Mytilus edulis: one gene and its partners. The protein of the gene in region 3 interacts with the protein of the main gene of each other region in a pairwise test. Links are inferred from orthologs where the notes say so. Each region holds a gene or a part of one and is shown on either strand. Other genes may lie near its edges. The genes, in order: catenin beta-like; alpha-adducin-like; membrane-associated guanylate kinase, WW and PDZ domain-containing protein 1-like.

The links.
Region 1: the proteins of membrane-associated guanylate kinase, WW and PDZ domain-containing protein 1-like (region 3) and catenin beta-like interact in a two-hybrid assay, tested with the Caenorhabditis elegans proteins (2 studies listed by BioGRID, with this or other methods). The link is inferred for Mytilus edulis from reciprocal best matches to the Caenorhabditis elegans genes magi-1 and hmp-2.
Region 2: the proteins of membrane-associated guanylate kinase, WW and PDZ domain-containing protein 1-like (region 3) and alpha-adducin-like interact in a two-hybrid assay, tested with the Caenorhabditis elegans proteins (2 studies listed by BioGRID). The link is inferred for Mytilus edulis from reciprocal best matches to the Caenorhabditis elegans genes magi-1 and add-1.

Annotation. Positions count from the first base shown.
Region 1 is NC_092357.1:59,222,710-59,231,206, forward strand, and holds the start of catenin beta-like, read right to left. Parts: upstream 3,860-8,497; 5' UTR 3,651-3,859; intron 1-3,650. Other genes in the region: uncharacterized methyltransferase YdaC-like, read left to right, coding at 6,788-6,868, 8,014-8,149. UniProt on the Caenorhabditis elegans protein: Required for cell migration during body enclosure and cell shape changes during body elongation. Plays a role in recruitment of the cadherin protein hmr-1 to adherens junctions.
Region 2 is NC_092347.1:57,417,458-57,425,891, reverse strand, and holds the start of alpha-adducin-like, read right to left. Parts: upstream 3,322-8,434; 5' UTR 2,990-3,321; intron 1-2,989. UniProt on the Caenorhabditis elegans protein: Membrane-cytoskeleton-associated protein that promotes the assembly of the spectrin-actin network. Plays a role in time-dependent memmory loss and the retention of conditioned behavior over time.
Region 3 is NC_092344.1:29,414,125-29,422,692, forward strand, and holds the start of membrane-associated guanylate kinase, WW and PDZ domain-containing protein 1-like, read right to left. Parts: upstream 3,531-8,568; 5' UTR 3,206-3,530; coding exon 2,842-3,205; intron 1-2,841.

The DNA of each region.
Region 1 (8,497 bases), on a different chromosome or scaffold from region 3:
AAAAACACAAACATGACATGTGTCTGTATAGTAACAGTGTACAGTAACTGTATACAGCCAAAGGGTCTGGAAATGATTATATTTGCCAGACATGACCAACAATGTACATTTGTGTACACTGAAATGGCAGATAAGCCATCATACGGGTTTAGGTTGAAAAATATTTTATTAGAGAAAATCTCATTTTCATGCCAATTTGCTTTAATATTTGTTTCACATTATATTCTGGTAATAAAACTACCGCTTAAGTATAGTATTATAATCAAAAGAACTAGTTCATTCTCCTTCCAAATAAGGAATTAAATTCATACATGAAAGAGTATGGTCCAACAAAAGAACTTTGAGGACAGGGCCTAACTAGCCTCTTTTAATAGTGAGGTAAAATATATTCGCAGAGCGCAGTGAGGCAAAAAAATTTTGGCGAGGGGTCTGGGGGTTGCTCAAGGGAAAGCTCTGAGGAAATAACGCAAAATCGTGCATTCTGAGCGTTTCCTAGGCTCTTTCTTAAATTGAAACATAATTAATTTTTAGCTATTTTTTCGATGATATTCTGGTCTCAAAACAAAAACATTGATTCATTGTAATTTAAGACTTGTAGATTTTAGGGACAACATTAAAAGACTGATATGTAGGATAAAGCAAAAATTGTAATTCTCATAATCATAAATACAGGATCTGTCTGTCTATCTTGTCTTGTGCTAAGACTTGGGTGATTTTTTTTTATGGCTAGATTAAAATATAAAAAAAAAATAAATGCAGTATTATACCTTCAGTACTTGTACTGCTTAAGTTGACACTAGGGACCATCTTGACCTTGTTTTAACAGTATTAATGATTCTTTTATTGTTGAAGACCCTCCAGCAACTATCAAAATGAAGAAAAGAAATAAAAACTTTGACCACTTGGATTGATAATTTGTATTTTTTTCATCGACTTTGAGTGCGATCAGGCCCCGTGCACGTTCTCTCCATATTCCTTTATTTTCTGTTAAAGGGTCTGAACATGACTTAATGCAAATTTAACCCTTCAATGTAAAAGGTCATATGGCATTTCATTGTTGGGTTTATCAAATTATTTGATACCAGGAAATTGGTGACCTTACTTTAATTGAAATCATGTCAGCTACATATATCTAGTTTTATCGACAAAATAGTCAGCTTTATATTCTTTGAAATCAATACCTGTCTGAAACTGTTACGATATATCAAAACATTCATATTAACTCAGTGTTCTCCTCAGGCCGATATGATGCTGGGGTACCGCAGCGCCTTCATAATATTTTCGTTAATCCCGCAGCGTCTGAATTGGCTGCTGTCCCTCACTACTTGATCCCGCAGCGTGTTAATTTTCACATTTTCATTATAAATTTGTTAAAATTGTCAAGTTGCTGACATGCTGATCACAGCTGAGAGGTCACTCAGTGTTACGCAATATCTGATAATATAGTTTTACCTGAGCCACGCTTATCTCAGCCTTATCGGACTATGTTATCATGTAATAGCGTAAATGATCATCAAGAAGATAGATATTTTTAGAAAAAATTAAAAAAATTAAAAACTTCAGTGCAGAAATTGAAGAAATAGATCGCAAATACATTCTATTTAAGTTAGGCATCGTGTGTGTGATTACTTGACTATTTATATAACGAATTTTTTCATTGGTCTAAAGAAGAATCTATTTAAACACGACCAATGAACCTGTTCAATACACGTGATGGAATCAGTGATTTTCCTGGTGTTTAGGGGAAGGGTCCTGGGGCCCATGCAATTGGGAAAAAAATTATGGTTTGGGAAAAATATGAATGGTCTTTACGAGGGCGGGCACACGGCGTAAGCCGTGTGCGCCTCGCTAGGGGGGTTTGGAAAATTTTGAAAATTAGGTGCAAAATCCTGCATTCTGAGAAGGATTAACTGCATGAATTGCGTACAAAATAAGCTATCTTTTTAAGGAAAAGGATTAAAAATAAAAGTTGAATGTGTCTGAGGACACATTTGCATGCACTCAAGCTTTGTAACTTTACTCTTGAAAGGTAAAATTCAACCTATCCCTTCTGATTCTATTTATAATGATGAGAATCTATAGAAATTCTAAAAAGACACATTTGAAATCTGAAGCATTTATTTTTTAGTTTTATTTAAAATTCCAAGTTTTCCTTCATGTTTATTTTTAAACATGTCAACTAGTTGTTCCAGTTCTGTATCTGAGAGTCGGTCTTTTCCTTCTTTCACTTGTTTCATCAGAAGGAAGTAGAAACGACTTTTTGAATCCAAAAGCTTTCAGCTTCCAGCATTTACTACCGTCCGCCGCCTTTAGCTTCTTTGTGTAATATTTGGAATTATGAGACATGATCTACGTTCATTTTGTTTACATTATGTCTCATTTTTTTGCTTTGTCATTGAATTATTCATTCGGATGTTTCAAGCGCAAACGTGACCAGAATATCGTAGATTGCAATGCAATGCAATCCAAAAAAGATTGCAAACCAATCATAGTCTTAAGTGAACGATAATGATAACTCCCGAAATACCCCGAACGCTCAGAGATTTGTCAACAAAATAGTACATGATACGGAGATACGACAATAACAAAATCTCGCGACGATGTCCATATACGATTGGGAATTTTAGAGCTGAAAATTGGGAAAAAAAGAGCATATTTCTCTTTGGGAATGGGGCCGAAATTCGGCCCCAAAATGAGGGTTGGAAAATCACTGGGAATTGAATACACATTGCTAAAGATATTTACGATGAAAATTATGAATGAGAGTATTTGTAGTTGAAAAAATTAAAATAAACTTTGATTAAAGATAACGAGAAGTGATTTATTTTAATTGAAAGTGAAAAATGTTGCTTGCAAGGTAAATTCGTTTCAAACTGTCATATTTTTAGAAATAAAATGATCATTGAACATCGATCGAGAGTGGTTTTTCTTTTTGCGATTTATGAATGGAATGTGAAAAACTATATCTCGAGTGAACGCGATTGATAGTTTAGATTATTTTTACCGATAACCGCTACGAATTTCAGCTGACGGTGACTATAGTTAGTACCTGGTAACCAGCCTAGTCCAAATAAATTTATTAAAAACAATTTTATTTTTTGCTTTGACGCCTTCCTGCAACTTCACAACGCTCATTCTTTCAGTTGAAATTCAAAAGAAAATTTAAACTTTATTTAACAAGATAGTCAAAGCCAGGGCAAAAGCAAAAACATAAAATAGCCTATCAAGACTTCATTCATCATTATTTAGACTTGTACCTGCCATGCTCTAAAAACCTTGTTCTAGTCACGATTTTTAGTTGAACAGGACCAAAGGTTTGACCATAAAGCACCAGCTATAAAATTTCTGACGCCGGTAATTTCATGCGTCATACTTCGCATGTATCATAAATTTTCGTCCACTTGTCACTTCCCCCTTTTTGAAATTATTTTCATGCAAGTAGCAAACCTTATATTGTGGTTACTACGGGTATTTTCCATCGACCCCAAGTTTGTGCAACTATGCAACTACCGGTATTATTTATTGTATTGCAGAGAGTAAGCCGTTGTATTTGAACACCCAACCGTCAACAAAGGAGAATAACTTGGTTCGAGAAAATATAGGTCACAAAGGGAATATTGGCCTGTTGTATACCTTTACTTAGTACCTACCGAAAATAACTGCCGCCTTGAACCAAAGGTGGCTTTCGAAATACTCAGTTTACAAACACAATCTTTGAATGCTTGAAATTAACTTCACATTACAGCAGAACTGAATCATTCAAATTCCAAGATGGCGATTCAATTTAATCTGTCACGCATGCGCTCTTAAACAAGCACCTGTTACTTGACCTATTTACCTGTAGGCCAAATTATACATTAAAAAATAGTTCTATGGTCATGTAATATTTGTCTTTCTCTTTAAAAATTGAATTAATATACATGAAAAATATTTTATTTTATTATTCTCATGATTTTTACAATAAGGAAATACTAGATATGACTGCAATATTAAATAAAAGGTTAACAGTCGAATTCATCCGCATTGTTTAGAAATACTCTTTCCATGTTTTCCTCATGCATCACGGTTTGTTACAATTGAACACATATTACTGTTACAATAAAATAAAATAACACCCATAACAATAAAAAAAATTAAAAAAAATAGAATTATTGGGTTTTTTTTGTATTTTGTTTGACCCTCGAGTAAAATTAGTTTGGTTTTTATACAGCATGATTATTGATTTGTTCAACTTCGGGATTTGTACAAATCCTTGATTTGTTTTATTATATAAAAATAGTCGGGTGCAAAGTCAAAATATTTTGAAAATGCACAGAATGTGAATCAATAAAGTTATGTTGTCTTGTGAGGGAACAACCATTTAACTTCTAAAAGAGTTAAAAAGGAGGAGGTATATGTTATTTTCTGGGTAATTTTTTTCTCTCCAAAATTCAACACAATGACTGTATATTTTAGGTATAGGGGAAATCTGCATTCAGAATATTTTTTTTGTTATCTGCTTGACCAGAATTTTTTTTCATCCAATTGGGGGATCAGAATATTTTTCAGGAAAAAAAACATAATCCTTGTCGTTCCTTTTCCTCCAATAAAAGAAAAAAATATATGTCGGTTACGATGGTTTGATAGAAATTTTATTCATATTCTGAATAATGAACTTTCATAAGGGTAGTAATGCCCTTGACCATCAAAATCTTGCTCCCCCGAAATTAATTTTATCAATGTTTATGTGCGATTGCCAGTTTATATCATAAAAACTATAGTAGATAAATACTAGACGCTTTTAATAGCAGAAATAATCAACACGAAAAAGATACTTCAAATGTGTCGAACATGCCAAATGGATGAAATTGTCATGCAGTCGATTCCTTATTGTAGTTATTGCTCTTGACAATGATGACTTTCAATAACAGTTTTTGGCGTTATATAGAATGAAATTCAAAACAGTGTGGCTGTGGCCATTGATTGACACATTAAATTCATCCATTGACTGGGACAATTTAGGTGAACGTTTGTATGTAACGACCACTGCTCACTATCAGAGGCGGATTTAGGGGGGGCCCGGGCCCCCCCTTTTTGGGAAAAATTTGGTTGCTTATATAGGGAATCACTGAAGCGTGACTGGAGCGGGCCCCCTCTTAGGTCAGTCAGTGGGCCCCCACATATGAAAATTTCTGGATCCGCCACTGACTATGTACTTTTTAAAGACACTTAAACTATGGGGTCACCAAAGGTTCTCAACGCCTTAATTAAGTAATTCGAAAAATTAATCAGAAATAACACGATGTTTTGATTTATATCAATTATATAAATCAAAACATAAAGGTTATTCCTGATTAATTTTTCGAATTATTTTATAATTAAAGGCGTTAAGAAACCTTTGGTGACCCCACAGTTTAAAAGTCTATCGTAGGTACGTCGTGAACAGTGGTCGTTACATACAAACGTTCACGTAAATTGTCCCGGTCAATGGATGAATTTAATGTGTCAATCAATGGCCACAGCCACGCTGTTTTGAATTTCATTCTATTACTTTCGCATTATAATAGATGCTTCGAAACATTAAAATACTAAGCTGACAAGCAATACAAGATCCGCATTAAGAAAGAAGTGTCAGTCATAAAAGTTGTTGCCTATAAAGGACATTTTTTTTTACCATTTGTTTTGTGTTTGGGGAGGGGGACTACAGAAGAAAGGGAGATAGTGTAAACAGAAAAATAATGATCACCAACACGATATCCCCCTTTTTCCCCTTAAAAAAGAGAGTTCAATCATTAACTTTGTTCGTGTACAGTTTTGTAGAATATCCATTGTTGAAGATGCACGTGACAGGCGAGCTACACAGGCTCTTAAGAGCATCTAGTTACATCATCAAAATTATGTTTTTCTAGTGTGACCAGGCCAATCCAATCATTTTTAAAATCCCTACTTCCTCTACAGAAAATCAAAATGCAGTCCAATTGCATTTGCTACCATCAAATTGCTAATTGACGGCGAGAACTCTTCAGTTACAGTACTGTTATTTCATTACTCATGATAACTAGTAGGCACTGTTTTTGTACATTTTATTTGCTGACGATAATGGTATTATGACATCAGTGGAGGATTCAGGGGGTGTAAACGGCTTACCCTTGGTAATAACTTTTTCGGAAAATTGCGCCTCCCTTTCCTCAAACACAGGCACTTGTCTCAGAACCCCCCCTACATACCTCAAACCCTTGATAAGCACATTGTACTTGTGCACATTGGCAAATTTTAATCCCTTTGAAAACCTCAACAAATTTCTTTATTTTTATTCTGATAACTATGTTCAAGAATCTGATGTGCAGTAGTTTTAGTTTGTTGATGTCATTGGCGGATCCAGGGGGGGGGGGGTCCGGGGGTTGGAACCCCCCTTTTCTTTGGTCGATCAATGCATTTGAATGGGAACATATAGTTGGACCCCCCCCCCCCCCCCCCCCCCCCTTTGTCCTGGGTTGGGAACCCCCACTTTTTAAAATGGCTGGATCCGCCCCTGGATGTGGTTCATATATAACTGTTTCACGTTTCTCGTTTTTAATATAAATTAGACCATTAATTTTCCCGTTTGAATGGATTTACACTGGTAATATTTGGGACCCTAAATAGCTTGCTGAGCTCTTCTGTGTGAGCAAAGGCTCCGTGTTGAAGGTCGTACTTTGACCTATAATGGTTTACTTTCACAAATCTTGACTTGGATGGAGAGTTGTCTCATTGGCATTCATACCACATCTTCTTATATCTATCTATATACTTTCATATATTCAGGAGGATGACTAATATCTTTAGAGAATATTTAGCACAGAATCTGCGGAAACCTGGAAGTGGCTTCTTTGGTTGGTATGTTACGAAGGTAAATATTTGTCTTAATATATACTATAGTACATCAGAATGCTGCAATACAAATTGACAGTACTTCAATATGAAATGAATCGAATAGACCACTTTCGAGTTCATCCGTCACCGGCAAAAACTCGTCAATTATGCACGCCTTTATGACGTCACTTACCAGATAGAGGGGCTCGCCTGTATCCCTGCACTATTTACGTTCATCAAGCGTCTTAGTGATCGTCTTTGTGCAGGATAACCTAGAAATAATGGTTGCTCTGTAGGTACTTACTGACAATTCCCTAATGACAGCAGTGTTGATTGTCAATTTTGAGAATTCAATTTGCCGAATAATTCGTACAATATAGAATTATAGTTTTCCAACCACTCGCTCAACATTGGAAGGAAGTGACGACGCCCCTAAACGCAAAAATGACGGTGATAAAGGCGCGTATAATTGACGAGTTTTTTCCGGTGACGGATGAACTCGAAAGTGGTCTATTGCTTTGTAACTGCTTCCTGTATTAACAAGGATGCTATCACGCTTCGAAGTTTTATGAATAATTATACCCATTTTACTGTATTTAAATGATTTTTTTACATTTTTGCATGTATGGTAAAACCTCGAATTCAGACATAATATCCAAACTGAATTTAAAACGTAACGGAAGCCGTGCGTTTTGGACATGTCCAAAATTACTGCATTATGTACTAAGCACATCAAGAGGTGTGGTATTTCTTATTTTCTTATGATTGCACGCTATAGATAAACACAATTCCTTTTAATTAAAGGCTGAAACTTTCACAGAACCACCATGCATACGTTTACAATTTTAATAAAGCAGAGATAATACGGAAATCATATTTATTGTTCCTAGAATATGGTTATTTACCACCAACCCATAGATGACACATACATTAACAACTATAGGTCACCGTACGGCCTTCAACAATGAGCAAACCCCATACTGCATAGTCAGCCATAAAAGGCCCAGAAATGACAATGTAAACCAATTCAAACGAGAAAAATAATATAGGTTGCTTAATTTTTATCAGATGTATTGTTCACATCTTAAATCTTCCATCAGGTTATGAAAAGAAAATTTTGAAACTTATTAACATCTTGACACCAATCACATCAACAATTTTGTTTTTAAATTTTAAATTCAGAATATCTTTTTGAGACGAAATGTGATTTTAGAAGAAAGTGCTGTAAAACTGTGTCAGATTGAACCACACCACAATGTTTTAGAGGTCGGGTTTGGACCAGGAGTTGGACTTGAAGCTGCGTGTAAACATGTGACGGGTAAGCTTGTAAATATGTGACGGGTAAGCTTGTAAATATGTGACAGGTGAGCTTGTAAATATGTGACGGGTAAGGCGATTCTCACGAGGGTCTAGATTGGGGTCCCTCATCTCATTTATTCCTTAAAGACCACTTGATAGATAATTTCCAAATGCTGGTAAAGTAAGACTTTTGTTAGCTAGCTTGCTTTGTTTGTATATTGTATAATTGTAATTGGGATAACGTCAATCTAATTAAAAACCGATCTCTCATCGCTCCTGTTTCTGATATGTCGCGTGGGAGATCTAACGAAACCGGCTTTGAGGTCACATGCGAGTGAACTAAAAGTTATGAATTTATAAAGATATG
Region 2 (8,434 bases), on a different chromosome or scaffold from region 3:
GTACATCTTTTGTTTCTTCCACCAAAAGACAAAAAAACTTGAAGAATACTATAAAAATCACTATATGTCCATTGAAGCTATATACATGTATATATATATACTATAATGTACTATGTACATGCATGTTTTTGTAACATGCATATATACTGGGTACATGAATATGAACTTATATATATAATGATACTATAGGTAAGGAACATTTAAACAGCATATCCTCTATATCATAATCTCAGAGAAATTTTGAACAGATAAGAATTAGTGGCATGTTTTGAAATGTTACATGTCATCACCAGTTCAAATAATCAAGTTGATAACTTTAATAATTAAATCAATATGAAATTAGTAACAAGATGATAAATGTAGTAACATATATAATTAATAGACTAAACACTATCTGTCTGATAAGAGAACAGAACTTCTTACTACCCCCAATAGAGATCACAACATATTAATGTACTGGTCATGATCAGTAGAATAAGAACAAAAAGAATTTCAACATGTTGATTTAATAGAAAATACTGCCTTATCAATTCCATCTCAAAAGAAAAATGTCTCCATGATGAAAGATATATGCTGTATCATACTGACCTAAAACAATATATGAATGTATGTACATTGTATGTTTGATTCATTTCCCTGCTAAAAATTGTTTTGCCATTTCAATTTTCTTGGGGTGGAAATTGGGTATTTAAAATGTACAAAAAAATATATAGTGATGAACCATTATTGAATTTTTTATCAAAATCTGAAGTTGATCAGTTGATATTTGGCCTTTTTCTGCTTCAAATTGACAACTACTACTGATAAGCATACAGTACAGTACATTCAATGCCAATGAATTACTATAAATTGTCCACAAAAATGTATACATGTACAAGTAGTTTAGAGAAAAAAAATCTAAATACTTTTTTTTTAAATTTACATAATTGAGAAATGAAAAAGTGTTACAATCATATATTTTTCAATGACAGAAAAATGAATTCTGTCAGACTCCTTTTGATCTGGTGAGCATGTGTTAAGCTGCAAGAGGAAGCTGTACAGAAATAATTTGGGAAGTTCCATGTCTACCAATATGGAGACAGACAGTGAGAAACTGTCTATGTGAAACCGCATATGTGTCAGACATATCCTTTCCTTGTCAAAATACTGAGATACTTGCAAGGACCAAATTTATGCATATGGTGCAAAAGAATAAGGGGCTGGGTACTGCATAAGTGAAAACTAAAAGACGAGTCTGGTTCAGCGTGTGATGTTGGGTGCCATATCCTACACCCAAACAACTCAACTATGCACATAAATTTCCCAGCAACCATCACATGTATGCCTCTCAATACAGACATCAGGTTTTGGCAACACAAATTATGCCAAGTACCTTCGAGTCAGGTGAAGGAAAAATCTACTTGATTTTATTTTAGCTTCAATAGAAAAACTTGCAAGCACTAAATATCCTGTTTTTAGTTTTGATAAATGAAGAAATTTAACAGAGAAAGTAAGCAATTGCAATACCTGCATAAAGTTAATCACTTAATGTTTGAATAAAAGTATTGTGGCAACAAAAATTAAACATTTAAATTTTTTGGGTGCAGAACTCACAAATTTCATGCATTTTCATTCATGTTTCCTGGAGGAGGTTTTGGCTTGCTACGACACCCTGAGGCTGACCTTTTAACGAAAATAAAAATTGGCTCCATGCCCCTTTTCCGTCATATTTTAAAACGCCTTACCGTAATTTTTAGCTTCATGTAAGTCTAGAAATGATAATTTTATTACTATAATGGATTTAAATTAAAAACGGAAAAGTATTACATGTAATAAGCAAGTATAAAACAATGGTATATTCAATTAAATCCTTACCATTACTGTGCCTTTATATCTTTGTAGAGAGTGCTCTTAAAAGTGTACAAATGTAATCCTCTGCGCAAAATGTACCCTTACAATGTATCCAATTGCGCAAAATGTACCCTTAAAATGTATCCAATTGCGCAAAGAGTGCATTCTGAGAAGAACTTTATCTGCCATTTTCAAAAGCTTCAGGAAACACTATTTATACATTTGTAAATTTCAGATGTCATATTTTCATTAATCTCGATGATTACAATATATGACATCAGTCTAAGATTTGCTTTTTTAATGAAGTCATTGTAAAAAAAATGAATAAGGAATGTTCAAATGAGGTATAAATGGTTAATCTACTGCATCTATCTATAATTTTGTGAATTTCCTAGGTTAGAACAGGGTGTGCACAGAATGTACTGTTGAATATGATTTATTTTTTAGGAAAGCCTCTAATTTCTTCTCTTTTTTTTATCAGTTTACCTTTTTATACTGTACTGTAGTGATCACATTTTGTACATGTTGTTCTTTCATAAAATTAAAATTTAAGTACTGCTAATGGTAATAATGGAAATTGCACTATCATTTTAAGTGCAACAAGAGTATTGGCTGTCATAGTGTGTGAGTAAATGACAATATATAATATATATTCCTATAAATTTGCTTGAATACTAAATCATTTAAAATTAAAACAATCTACTGAATCAGTATGCAATTTTGCATGGATAACATTTGTGATTTGTATAGATTCATATGCCCTATGAATGCGCCCTTTAATTAGGAATAAATACATTTGATAAGATATGAATACTTTGTCAGAACTTTCTGATGTTTTGATGTTGCATTTGATAACATCCGACCTTGACAGTTGCAAAATATGGCGACAGAAAACATATAATTTGATTTTTTTCCCGTAGCTTCTGAACATTTTAACTTCAATGACAATGTTAACGAAACTATCTTCGCATATAACAGTTCTGTTGTAGTGTACACAAATGTATTGCCCATTATTTGACAGTAGACGGACAAGTTTACAAGTAAGCGCTGTTACCGTCTTCACCGGCAGCAGAAGCCGGTCGGACATTACAAATTATCTTTTGATGAGTTGAACAGGGGCGTGCTTTCATAAAGTGGTTATTGACGTTCAATTACTTACCTTTGTTTCTGCTACGAAAATTATTTGATCGTTCGTATGAAAGACTACAATCCCCGCCAATTTTATATTGGCCCCTTTGAACACAGACAAGGCTTTCCCCGATATGCAAATGAGTTGTTTCTAAAATTAGTTCCACTGGCTATTCCATCTTTTGAATACACCCGTTGTTATCTCAAGTGAATGTTCTGAATGTTTTGATAAAAGCAAGCATGGACTGTAAATTATACACTGCATGGGACACTAATATTTTTTTTAAATAAATATTTTTTAATATAAACAAATGCGATATGCTTCAAAGTTATGGTATACACAACAACATACTTAAGAAAGAGGGAGGAAATTCACCGGAAATATGCACCAGCTACCTGAATAATGACATCACTCACATTTTTGTCTGTAAAGGGAAATCATTCATACTCCAAGTTTGAATAGGCGCAAAATTTAAAATGATTTATTATTTGGAAATTACACCATATATGGGTCAATAAAAAAAAATCTTCTCAGGTTTTTTTTTTTATTTAGCCTATGATAAGGTAAGATATTTTTATTCCAATTAAAGGGCCCATGAATAATAGCAAAGTAATTTATTACAATGATTTTTTTATAATTGACACAATAATGGCGGGGGGGGGGGGGGGGGGGGGGGGGGGGACAATAATACCCTGTTGTGACCCTTTTCAAGGTTTTGTTAACTGTTATCTGAGGTAAATTTAAGCTGTAAACTGATTTTCAACCCACTTTGTTAACTGTTAACAGCATTTTTGTATTTGTAAACAGCCAGATCAGATCCACACACATATTAGAAAAAAAGGCATAAGGGGACGACCATTTGATATGGGGGGGGGGGGGGGGGGTCACTCAGCCTTGATAATCCCAAAAATAAATGGTTTGTTCTGTGATAGTTTGCAAATAAATTACCTGACTTGAAATGTATTAAAAATAAATAAATCAGCAGGTATAATCGAAAGATGGCACCAGATTCTTCATAAATTCATCTTTTTTCCCCCAAAACACTTCCCTATTTTTTTTAATAATAGAGGAATAAATATTATCTAAATAGACTTGAAATGTCTGAAAATTGGTTTCATTTAACTGGAGGTATATTGTATCAGGAAACCTTACCTCACTTTTATTTTATTACAGGGCCGTAACTACATTGAGGCAAATGCCTCATGTAGGAAATTTCAAAACCAAACTCTTGTCTCCATATCAAATTGGGTTCACGGCGAGTGCCTTGCAAGAAGCAAGTTCTGTTTTCCCTCAGACTTACATTTGTAGCCCTGCTTTTTCGGGATCAATAATTCTTATTTATTTGTCTTTTGTTCATTGATTGCCCTTCTGTATTCTGTTAGTGTTGCATTCCTTTTGTAATCTAGTAATTTTGTTCTGAACTTGAACATGAATTTAAAAAAAAACAGCAGCCACAGACTTAATTATGTGAATTTCATTTTTGCTTTATCATGCACATTGGTCTTTTGATGTTGTCCCTAGAAACTTAAGTCTTACACTGATTATTTTTGCTTTGAGACCAACATATTGTCAAAAAATTATTAAAACAAAACTTGCATTTTCAGATTAAGAAAGGGTCTTCGGAACACCCAGAAAGCATAATTTTGCATCATTTGTTCTAGTGCTGGTAGATTAGAAAGACTTGTATATTACAGTCGACCATTTTACTGTATGGCTATTGACACCGTAGCTATTTATAAGAGTACAGTTATATACTAGTACTACACTATATGTTGTATGTACTATATATTTACTACGTTTATTCATACATTCATTCATAATTCATTCATTCATTCATTGACGGACAATTAGAAAAAGACTTTACTCTATATACTACTCTGCACGAAGTTATTATGCATGCAACCCCGCCACTTTTTCTAGCACTATATATACGGCGAACTCGGACTAATGCGAGTTTCACACACTTTAGCACACACGCTACATAAGGGACACCTAACTTTTTCCCTACTTTCAGGTAAGCACATTTTCTTTTAGGCCTTATCATGCATGTACTTCTATCCAATTCATAGTTCAATTTATAAGGAAATTTCAAGTTAACATTTGAAATAAATGTTTATTATAATTATGTACTTTCAGTGTGAAATACATGGTTTGCAACATTATATTTCGTCACATATTCAACGCCCTATTTACGAAGATCAAGTGGCCATATTACCCTATGACACTATAAATATTATACAAAAGAGTATGATACGCATACTAATCCTGCTTCTATTTGAAGCGTACGGATACGTTTGAATCATTGTTTATGTTGCAGTTTACTTTGCGATCCCCGTTAAAATGCTGTTGTTTTAATGAAAAGTCACGTCGGTAAAATATAAATACATGTATTCATGAGTGAATTATAAAATGTCTGTTAAAACATTAGTTTGTACTGTACATTGTAGGAATATAAAACGTGTATTCGTACTCGCTCTAGAAAGCTCTGCAAACACTGCCATTATCTGGCATTTAAATTAAAGCTGTCACAAATAAATGGCGCATATTCCGACAATAAAAGAATTTTGTATTTGTAATTTTCAATGACGATTGTATGGGAGGTTGTAACATTAGTATGAACGCGGCAAGCAGATTAGCTACATCCAAATATTCAATATGCTTCGAATTGTTAAAAATTCATTTGACCTGAAATATAATATTTGCAAAACATAAATTACCTTTATAGCAATTAATAATTGGTCGGACTTGTTAATTTAGAAACAATCACTTCAGCCTACCGATAAATTGTAAAGCCTATATGTTATACCTTAGCATAATAGCTTTTGCAAAAAGACTTTTTAAACCTCGATTTTTTAATACATCGAATCTTACCCTTTGGACCATCGCACTTTAGCGTGATACACCATCGTACTTTAGCGAACAAAAACAGTCGCACTTTAGCGTGAGACACCATCGTACTTTTAAAACACATGGTATGGGTAAAATCTCTTTGTTCTTACTGTGCTATAATCTGGATAATGCACAGCAAAGGTGTACCTCAGATATACTGCACAGTTCAAATCTATTTTAACCTTTAGGGGAGGTTCCTAGATTTTGAAAGGGGCGTTATTCTATCAAATTAAAAAAAAATATATCACCGAGCGTCGCGAGACTAAAAACAATATTGACGATTTTAAGGCAAAACACGATAATTTGTCCAATCCTAGGGTGAACGACATGTTCGTCCCCACCCCCGAATCCGCCATCTGCCTTGAAATTACGACAAAACTGAACTTTGTACAAACATCGTAGTTTCAGAATAGGAAAAAAAAAGGTTTCTCATTCCTTTTTTTCATCTTAGCTTGAACATAAAATGTTTCAGTATTATATTTTGCGTACAACATAAATCTTAAATCAGTGTTTTAAAGTCAGAAAGAAAGTTAAAACAATTTTTGGTAACTTCCGCCAAAAAAGAAATGTATCTAAGAATATCCGAATAAAAGAAATCTGATTTGGACTAGTTTTAGATTCAATGGATTTTATAACGACTTCTTACACGGTGGGTATGGTTGTCCTGCGAGAGAACGTACTGTGCTGGTGATTTGGTCCTGACGGGTGCTGGTGGGTCCTGATTCTGTGCTGGTGGGTTTGTTTACATTGTATCAGAACGGCAATAAAACGACTGTTTTGTTGCTTAATTTTTCTCTGATGTGTCATAAGTACCATGCAAAGTATATTACAACAATATTATATTGCAAAAGTCGTGCAAGTTCGTTAAACGGAATTGTCCTGACGCTGTGCTGGTGATAAGAAAAACGGTCCTGGTGCTGTGCTCCTATGTCCTGGTTCTGTGCTTTTATATTTTGTTAAAAGTGGCATATATTCAAGAGCATTGATGCTGTACTGTTGTTGACTAATTAGCTGTTGTCTGCTTTCTTGAAATTGACATTGTTGTGAATCTGTTTACTGTTATTATGAGAGAAAAAATACCCCTATTTAAAAAAAAAAAAAAATGAAATTAACTGTAATCTTATTTATTGGCCTGTTAATGGAACCCTTCTTGCCCCCTTTTAAGATAAGAAAATATGTTTACGATTTTCGGGATTACGATCATTTTGCAAGATCACCAAAATACGTTGTAATTTATACAATACTTAATATAATGTAGATGATGTGGTATGTTTGTTGTCAATGGACAAATTTCCATAAGAAACCAAAGGAAGTATGTGTTAACAACCATACGTCATCGTACGACCTTCAACAATAACCCATAAAATAAAAATGTGAAAGGTTTTGCATAAATATAGAACAAAGGACTTTCTGAGCGTTTGAATCATGTCTTTAGCAGCTTAAAACACATTTGTTTGTGAACAATTGAGTGTTGACTATAAGAATGACAATAGTATTGCGGGTTTGTTTGTTTGGTGTTTTTTTTGGGGGAGGGTGGGGGAGGGAGGGGGATAAGTTAGAGCGAGGTTACAGTGAAAGCTTGGAATAGTTTCCCGTAAAATTTTAAAGGTGGGTTGTAAAAGAAAAATGTATCTTATATTAGCCTTGGTCACACCTTACCGGATAGCTCGAACGGACGCCTAACAGATAACTTTTTCTCAATCCGTTCATGTCCGTTGGACGTCCGTTCTTATCCGTTAGGCGTCCGTCCATATCCGTTGCATGTCCGTTAAGCGTCCGTTTTATCCGTTGACGTCCGTTCTGTCCGGTGGAAAATTTTGAGCATGTTCAAACTTTGAACGGACGTCCAACGGATAAAATGTCCGTTGAACGTCCGTTAGGCATCCGTTTTGTACGGTACTCGTCCGTTTTGTATCCGTTATGCATCCGTTGGAGATCCGGTAGACCAATTCACCAACGGATGTCTACCGGACGCCTAACGGATAAAACGGATATTAACGGAAGGATAACGGATAAAACGGATGACTACCGGATGTAAAATGGACAAATGCCAATTGAAATTTCTCATGGTTTATTGCCTTTAATTTTTAGATGGTTTATTGCCTTTAATTTTCAGATTATTTTGTTCATCCGTTTTATCCGTTACGCTTCCATAGCGGTGTCTGTTTTATCCGGTACTCGTCCGTTGGATGTACGTTCGACGTCCATTCTGTCCGTTACGTATCCGTTTCACGTACGTTCAGTGTCCGTTGTGTGTCCGTTTGGCATTCGTTACATGTTCGTTAGTACACCAACGGACTCCCAACAGATACAAATTTTGTCAACGGATAACTTTTTTTTTATCCGTTAGGCGTCCGTTCGAGCTATCCGGTAAGGTGTGACCGAGGCTATAGCTATTAAGAATCACGCTGTAAGATTTTTCCAAAATATTTTTTTTTGTCTAAGCGGTTATCAGGTATTTGTTTTTCGAAAATTCGATAAAACACTAAAAAAATCACTATTTTATATGAAAGGGCAAGCTAGAATATGTCAGAGAATGAAGACGAGATAACCTAGAAAACACTAAAAAAACCTAAGATTTCTTAG
Region 3 (8,568 bases):
AATGAGTTCAAGGTCACATGAATCATGTCAGACAGACATATGTAAATGTACATGTACACATTACAATCAATCTATGCATTAATTATAGTTGACCTATTGCTTATAGTATCTGAGAAACAAACTTAACCATGAAAACATAACATTGATCGTGAACCATCAAAATGAGGTCAAGGTCAGGTGATACCTGCCAGACATACATATACAGCTAACAATCCTTCCATACAACAAATATAGTTGACATATTACAGTTTGTTATAGTTTATATTATGAAAAACCGACCAAAACACAAAAACTTAACATTGAGCAACTAAGGCTTTGTGTTGAAGACCATACTTTGACCTACAAATGTATAATGGTTTACTTTTTAAAATGTATTAGTCTTTTAAAATAAATTGTGTCTTGGATGGAGAGAAGTTGTCTCATTGGCACTCATACCACATCTTTAATTCTTATATCTATGTTACATAATAATGTACATGTACACTGCTAGTGCCATATATATGCATGCTCATTAGTAACAAAAGATCACTCCTTCTTCTGAACAATAATAATTCACAGTATTGAGTGAAGTCATCATTTTTCTGTGTATAAATAAGGTGATTACAGGTGATGATTAATTAACAGGTAATCAGTAATCAATCAAGGATTCGGGTAATATTGATTTGTCATCTTTTAAAAATGTTTTACTCTTGCAGTATAAACTAACATCAATATTTTATAAAGATATTCTTATATAAATAATACATAAATTATAAAGTATCAATGATGATAGAAGCTGTACATTTTGTACATGTATAATGACACTTCACTACAGTGTAGACCTACACCTTAGTTTAAACTGGACTTATTAAAGTCACTTATATAATTACTAATTAATGAGCTAAACAATTGCTAGTTACATTTTGTACATGCATTCATGGTATGAATATTCATTTGACAGACAGATACAAAAAAGACCTGATTATCTGTACATGTAATACTTTTTTTATAAGAACACCAACTTCATGTACATGTACAACTGAGCATATATATACATGTACAAATGTATATATGTTACTTTTGGTAAAGTGCACACAATGTTTTTACATTTATTACATTGTACATTCAAGATACATTTTTTTTGTACTTCAGTTGTCAATCAAAATCATATATCAAATTTTCATTATTTATCATGTTTATTAGTATCTGCCACTATTTTTTTATTCTGTATAGATGAGTAAAGATTAACAAGTTTTCTACACATTGATATGGTGAATTATCAATCACAAGCCACAATGTGAACTTTTTTGCAAGTGAGCGCAGCAAATGAGCTAAAAAGCTGCACATTGTGTCGAGCATCTGATATTTTATGATACATGTATCTACATTTTGTAAACAAATTAAAGAACATCTGATTATCTGTGTATCGTTCTATTTCTGATCTTTCCACCTCCCTAAGACAGTTTTACGCTTCATGAAAAAGCAAGCTTGATATAAAGTATAGATTATCGGGTTTTCTACACATTGATATCGTAAAATATCAGCCGCGATCCACAATGTGAACCTTTTTGGCGAGTGAGCACATCGAACGAGCTAAAAAGTTTCACAGTATGTTCATGAGCGGCTGATATTTTACGATATCTATAAGAAGAAAACCTGATTATCTTTTTATTGTTCTATTACTGGTCTTTTCCCTGTAAGCTTCACAAAAGCAAGCTTGATAATGTCTCCCCTCACATTGTGACGTCACTGATAACTTCTCCTCTCACAGTGGGACATCGCTGATAATGCCTGGTCTCCTTTTGATACGAGAATTAAGGAGCGACAGAGCAGGGTGATACATGTATAAGCGTAGGGAAGGAGGATAACGTCTCCTCTCACATTGTGATGTCGCTGATAACTTCTCCTCAGACATTCATTGATAATGCCTGATCTTGTCTCAAAGCTGTGACACCAGAATTATGAAGCGACTGAGCAGGGTGATATAGGCGCAGGGAAGAACGATAAGTTTTCATCTAAGTTGGGGGTGTTAGCAGACCTTTATTATATTTATATTCATTGGGATTTTACCCATTTTCATAATTTGGGCAAAATGGGCAAGCTGGAAAGAGTTAGTTAATGGGAATTAACCCTTTTTCGTAAGTGGGACAAGTTAGGAAACCAGTGTGGGAAGTTTTTTTTGAAAGTGGGGCAAATTTTTTTTAACTGGAGAGATTTGGTGAAAAGGTGGGCCCAGTGGCGGATCCAGGGGGAGGGTTCCAGGGGTTGGAACCCACCTTTTTTTTGGCCGATCAATGCATTTGAATGGGGACATATGGTTGGAACCCCCCCATTATCCTGGGTTGTGAACCCCCTTTTTAAAATGGTTGGATCCGCCCCTGGGGCCCATTAATGTTTAGTGATTTGGTACTTACACTCTGACTTTAATTCAATTACATGCATAATGAATATAAATAAATGTATAACAAAGGTCTGCTAACTCCCCCAATTTAAACTTGTTAAGTGAAAACTTACATACAAAATGTATGTACATGTACAATGTATCTATCTGTTCCAGACCATATGAGTATATATACAATGTACTTGTTTGATTATTAACAAAAACACGTCCTAGACGCATGAAAATCGAGCTGGACACCTAATTTTTTTAATCTGTGCATGTGAGTCCCTAGGAAGTGTCCTGATTGTATACCCTGAGTCCCAAACACATCGTTTTGCCTAGAAGATTCATGATTGTCATCATTGTTTGTCAAGAAACTAATGGATTGGAATAATTATAAGTGAATTTTCTGTGGGGAAGTAATGAATTTTGGCAGCTAGTAACCTACATGATTGTGTAAACTTCATGTTCTCTTTACTCACCAATTTTTACAGTTTTCACCATTATGGGTGCTCCATTTTGACCAACTTGCTTTAACCATATTGTTGCATCTCTCAGAGTATATCCAGCAATTTTCTGTCCTTGAATTTCAAGAATAATATCATCAACATATAATTTTCCATTATGGAAAGTTAACTGGGATAATTTAAGTTCAGATATATAACAAAACTGTCCATTATCTGCTCCACCTTTGAGATGTATTCCAAATTCCCCTTCAGGTAAAGCTGAAACAACCGTTTCCTGTATTCTTTGACTCCAATGTTTTTGTTGATTATGATCCTTTTGGGGCTTAGGAGGGGGTGCAACCGGTGGATGTCGTACAATATCTTGTTTATTGTGTGACATTATATGATAGTGATTGGTGCAGTTTGAGATTTAACAACATCTGATGATTTTAACCGATGGAAAACACATAAAAATGACATTTGAGGACACTGACCAACGCAATCCACTCGGAAAGTTGTCGGAGTTTTTGTTATTATTGCGTCCGATCTGGACATCTCCGCACTTGCCTGTTCATGCCATTGTATAGTTAATTGATGTTTCTGAACTCTTGCATGTGTTTCTAATGTAAAATATGCAAAACAATGGTAAATTATCTTATAAAAACATTCACATTCCGCCCTATTTTCAAACACAGTCGATGATGCATTCGTTATACGCATGCGCTAAAGGTTGACACGCCATAAATCGTTCTAATTGTCAATTAATGTCGTAAAAACGAAAGGAATTATAATATTCGATACATTTCCGATTTCATTGCATGCGTATTTGGTTTGTGCATTTTCACGTAAATACATCCTATTGTCTATTAGTCAAAGGTGGGGGAAGAGGGGGGTAATTTTAAGAGGCACTAGACTCTAACCCTAATAAGATCAGATAAGATATTTTTATTCCAATTAAAGGGCCCACGAAGAGCTACAATAATGTTGATATATGATAGTTTGTATGAGTGAGGCTTGTATAGGGTATATTGGGATATGGAATATTTGCCATTTTAATTTTAGGGATATGGGATATTTGTCCTAAAAGTAAATGGGATATGGGATATTGATGCATTTATAAGGATATTGAATTTTTAACATGAAAAAACAATAAGTGGAATTTAAAAGTTAAGTACAGAAATATATACATATCACTTGATGAAATTGCCCAAAAAAGTTTAATATTAAAGGTAATTTTAGTGCTTTGTTGATTTTAAGTGAATTTATGGTCGTTTTATGTTAAAGTAATCCAAACCCAAGCGAAAAGTATTGATCTATTTTCGATATTTATATGCTCATATGTACTGATAATTTTAAAAGTATTTGTTTTGCTTTCCATACTTTGTTCCTTATTGTTAATTTTCCTTTTTTGGATGGTGATGTTCCTTTGGCACTATCTTACGGTGTTTGTATATCACAACTCCTCCGCTATGCCCGTGTCTGTTGTAATGTTTTGGATTTTAATGAACGAAATCTATGTATTACTGGTATATTATTAAGTCAGGGATTTCGTTACCACAAATCACTTAAAATCTTTACTAAATTCTAGATTTGGTTTTGAAGTTTGGTTCTACCTGTAGAAAACTTATTTCAAACGGGATAGCACATCCTCATTTTTACGGAGATGTTGTTTACCGTGCCATTGGATGCTGGATGTGTAATGATTGATAATTTAGTCTCAGATGCATTACTTTTTATTAGTTGTAATTGGCTTTGAACTGGCTGTCAGTAACTGCGAGTACTCTCAGATCTGTACTTGGTGTCTTTTTGTTGATGGGATGTACAAGTACTCTGTGACGTCCACTCTCTGTTTTTGTTAGATGTATTTCTATTTGTATCCATCTGATGAGTTAAGCCTTTTTCAACTGATTTGTATAGTTCGTTTTTATGTTGAACTGTTACACCACTGTCCCAGGTTAAGGGGAGGGTTGGTATCCCGCTAACATGTTTAACCTCGCCACATTTTGTATGTATGTGTCTGTCCAAAGTCAGGAGTCTTTAATTCAGTGGTTGTCGTTTGTTGCTGTGTTACTTATTTGTTTTTTGTTCATTTTTTTATACATAAATTAGGCCGTTAGTTTTCTCGTTTAAATTGTTCTACATTTGTCATTTCAGGACCTTTTATAGCTAACTATGCGGTATGAGCTTTGCTCATTGTTGAAGGTCGTACGGTGACCTTATAGTTGTTAATTTCTGTGTCACATGGTCTCTTGTGAAGAGTTGTCTCATTGGCAATCATACCACATCTTTTTTTTATATTATATGCTCATATGCATTGATAATTGTCTTGAAATAATCATAGATTTTTAACCGGATTTTTGTGACAAAAATGTCGGTTATTGATTTGGGGATGTACGGCGGGCAGGCGGCAATCAAATGTTGTCCGTGCATTTACGCGTGAACTGTTCTACCAAAGCTTCCCAAATTTTAATATGTTGTTACTGACAACTAAATGAAGGTCAAGTTCAATAATGGCGATTTTGACTTTTACCGTTCAGGAGTTCTGGTTCTTGAAAGATTGAAAAATGGTGTTTCCAGTCGTGTCCGTGCATTTTCTCATGAACCATTCAACCAAAGCTTTTGCAATTTTTATATGTTGTTACTGATGACAAAATAGAGGTCAAGTTTAATAATGACGATTTTGACTTTTACTGTTCAGGAGTTATGGTTCTTGAAAGATCGTAAAATGGCATTTCCATTCACTTTATTGCATTTACTCATGAACCATTCAATCTAAGCTTTTCAAATTTTAATATGTTGATACTGATGACAAAATGGAGGTCAAATTTGATATTAACGATTTTCACTTTCACCATTCATCAGTAATGGTTCTTGTGGTATTGCCAGGACACAAATAAATGTTAATAAATCCGGTTTGCTGTCGTTGTGACAGCCTCTTGTTGTTAGATGTATCCATCTGATGAGTTAAGCCTTATTGTTGTCAATGTTTTTATTTGTTTTGATGCTTTATATGATTATAGGATATTTTCTAGTGTTTTACCTCTTATTTTTTACGTGGCGAGGATCTTCAGAGGTCTCCACGTTTCACAGATTGCTCTGATGTGCAACGGCTGTTTTGCCAGACAAGCTGGGGCCGAGGGACGTCAGAGCACGTCCCATATCAAAAATTAGATATTTCGCCGTATAAACTATGTTAATAACGAATAATTACTAAATAATCATTGTAAATTAATATATTTTCTTTCTATTACTGGTGTTGTGAGGAAGGAAATTAAAAAAAAGTAACAAAAATATTGGGATCTATGTAATTCATAAAGTTCAAGATCACAGAGTCAAATGTTGTGTCATTTCTTTGCAAAACAAGGGCTGTGCAAATTTTGCCTGCTGTAAAAATAGTTAAGTGTAATGTAGGTACATTAGCAGAAAGCTTTCTTGTGTTAAATTTTGAGTTATTGAACTTGCATGCTTAATATCCACTTTTTTTATGGACGTGCTCGGACGTCCCAGTCTCAGCTTGTCTGGCAAAACAGCCGTTGGATGTCAGAGCAATCTCGGACAAGAGCAGGCGCGGATCCAGAGGGGGGGGGGGGGGTTCCGGGGGTTGGAACCCCCCTTTTTTTTGGACAATCATTGTATTTGAACCCCCCCTTTTTAAAATGGCTGGATCCGCCCCTGAAGAGACAGGGTTGAGTCCTTCTGTTCTTTCCAACATAGGTTAACGTGTAGGATGAAGTTTCTTATCAATGAAAGAAGAATGCTATCAAAATGAAATTTTACAGTCATATGCATCACGGTTTGAACAATTAAAAAAAAAGTCTGAAATTAGACCCCTTACAATAAATTTATCGTTTAAGATCACATAAAAAGATATTGTTATACAAGGCTCTAAGATGGAACACTTCATCTTTTGGACACATATATTCTTATTTAACACTGGAAGTATGCACTGTTTTCCCAGTCAAAATTGTTGACGTTGTGATGATGAGGAAAAAAATGGGCTTGGGAATGAATTTATAATGATTTTTTGGGATATTTCAAAATAGTTTTAGGGATATGGGATATTTGTAAAAAATATTTATTGGGATATTAGGGGTAAACATTATAGGGATAAGGGATATTGGGATAAAAACTTAATGGGATATGGGATATTGATACCCCCCCTAAACAAGCCTCATGAGTGTATCCAATGTAACCAATGTAACCATTATGTCAATGGGGGTTACAAAACAAGGTAACTAAATTATGGTGCACATTTTGTGCCTTATATGCTAAGTAGTTACTACTGTAATCACTAGCCAGTCAAAATTGAGGTTGTGAGTTCAGAACCCCGCTCATGCGGGTGCACTCGACTCCGATCTGAATTGACTAGGATTGTCAGTTTCCCTATCGAAGGTCGGTGGGTTTTTTACGGGCACCCCGGCTTCCTCCATCAATAACAACTGGCACCCACGAAATAGCCTAAAACAAGATAAGATAAGATAGATAGATAAGATATTTTTATTTCCAATTATGGGCCCCAAAGGGCATAAACATTACAACATCAATAATTACATCATAATACAATAACAATGAGATAAAAAAAAAAAAAAGTTAAACGAGAACTATTTAAGTTCTTAAAGAATACGTAGATAAAGAATCTATAGTATGTTGGTTTTTTTTAATACTAATGCATTTTATTACAAGTGTGGTTGATATAGATAACAAACAAGCAGCCCAAAAAGAAAAAAAGAAAAGAAAAATAGATATCCACATATGTATAGTACACAAAAAGTTGGATCAATTAAATATATAATAATTAGCCAAAAAGAAAGTAGAAATTAAACATGTCCATGACTCATCCTGTGTCAGCAGCAAATAGGAAAGCATTATGGTTTCCTAAAGGCAGCTGACACCAGGGGACGATACCTTATGGGCCATAGGCATGTAAAATGTGTGTAAATGTCTCTTTCCTACCTGTATCAAAAGCAAACAAGGAAGCATCATAGGTAACTTGAATGCAGTTGATACCAGGGGACGATGCCTCAAGGATATAAGAGAACATTTGAATAAATAATATATCTTAACAATTATTATTTTTTTTTTAATCGGCTAGTATGTTTGTGATATTCAGATGAATATAATTTTCTATGTCCAATCAAATGTATATACACACATAGATTTCCTTTAACTAATCTTCACTAAGGAAGATGTTTGTATATAAAATTACATATTATTTTAAGTAACTCAACATTTTCTACACTAAATAACCAGATAATTTTGCTTTGACTGTTCATATGATTAAAATAAGAATTATATTGTGCAATACTAGCTAACATACAATTTCTATCATCCTCAAATTTGTTACAATCAAATAGAAAATGAGCCTCATCTTCGACAGTATTGGAAGAACATTTATTACATATTCTGTTAATTCGGGGAATACCCTGATATAATGCGGTGCTCTGAAGTGGCGCCGTTAAAACTCCAAAAATCAATCAATCAATCAATTATTAACAGGCAAATATTCTCAACGTGTTAACTTGATAAAGCAATATCTGTACTATATTGATAGCTTTCTCCACAGTTCAAAACATTTATTAATATAAATTGCTAGACAACTATCAATATGATGTCAGAAAAATGGTATCTGAAAAACTTTTAAAAAACTTTCTTGATCTAAATTAAAAAGCCTGACAGAGCCAGGTCCAGATAAAATATAAGCATGCATACTTAAACAATTTGCATCTGAATTTTCACCGTAACATCTCACTTTTATTTCAACAT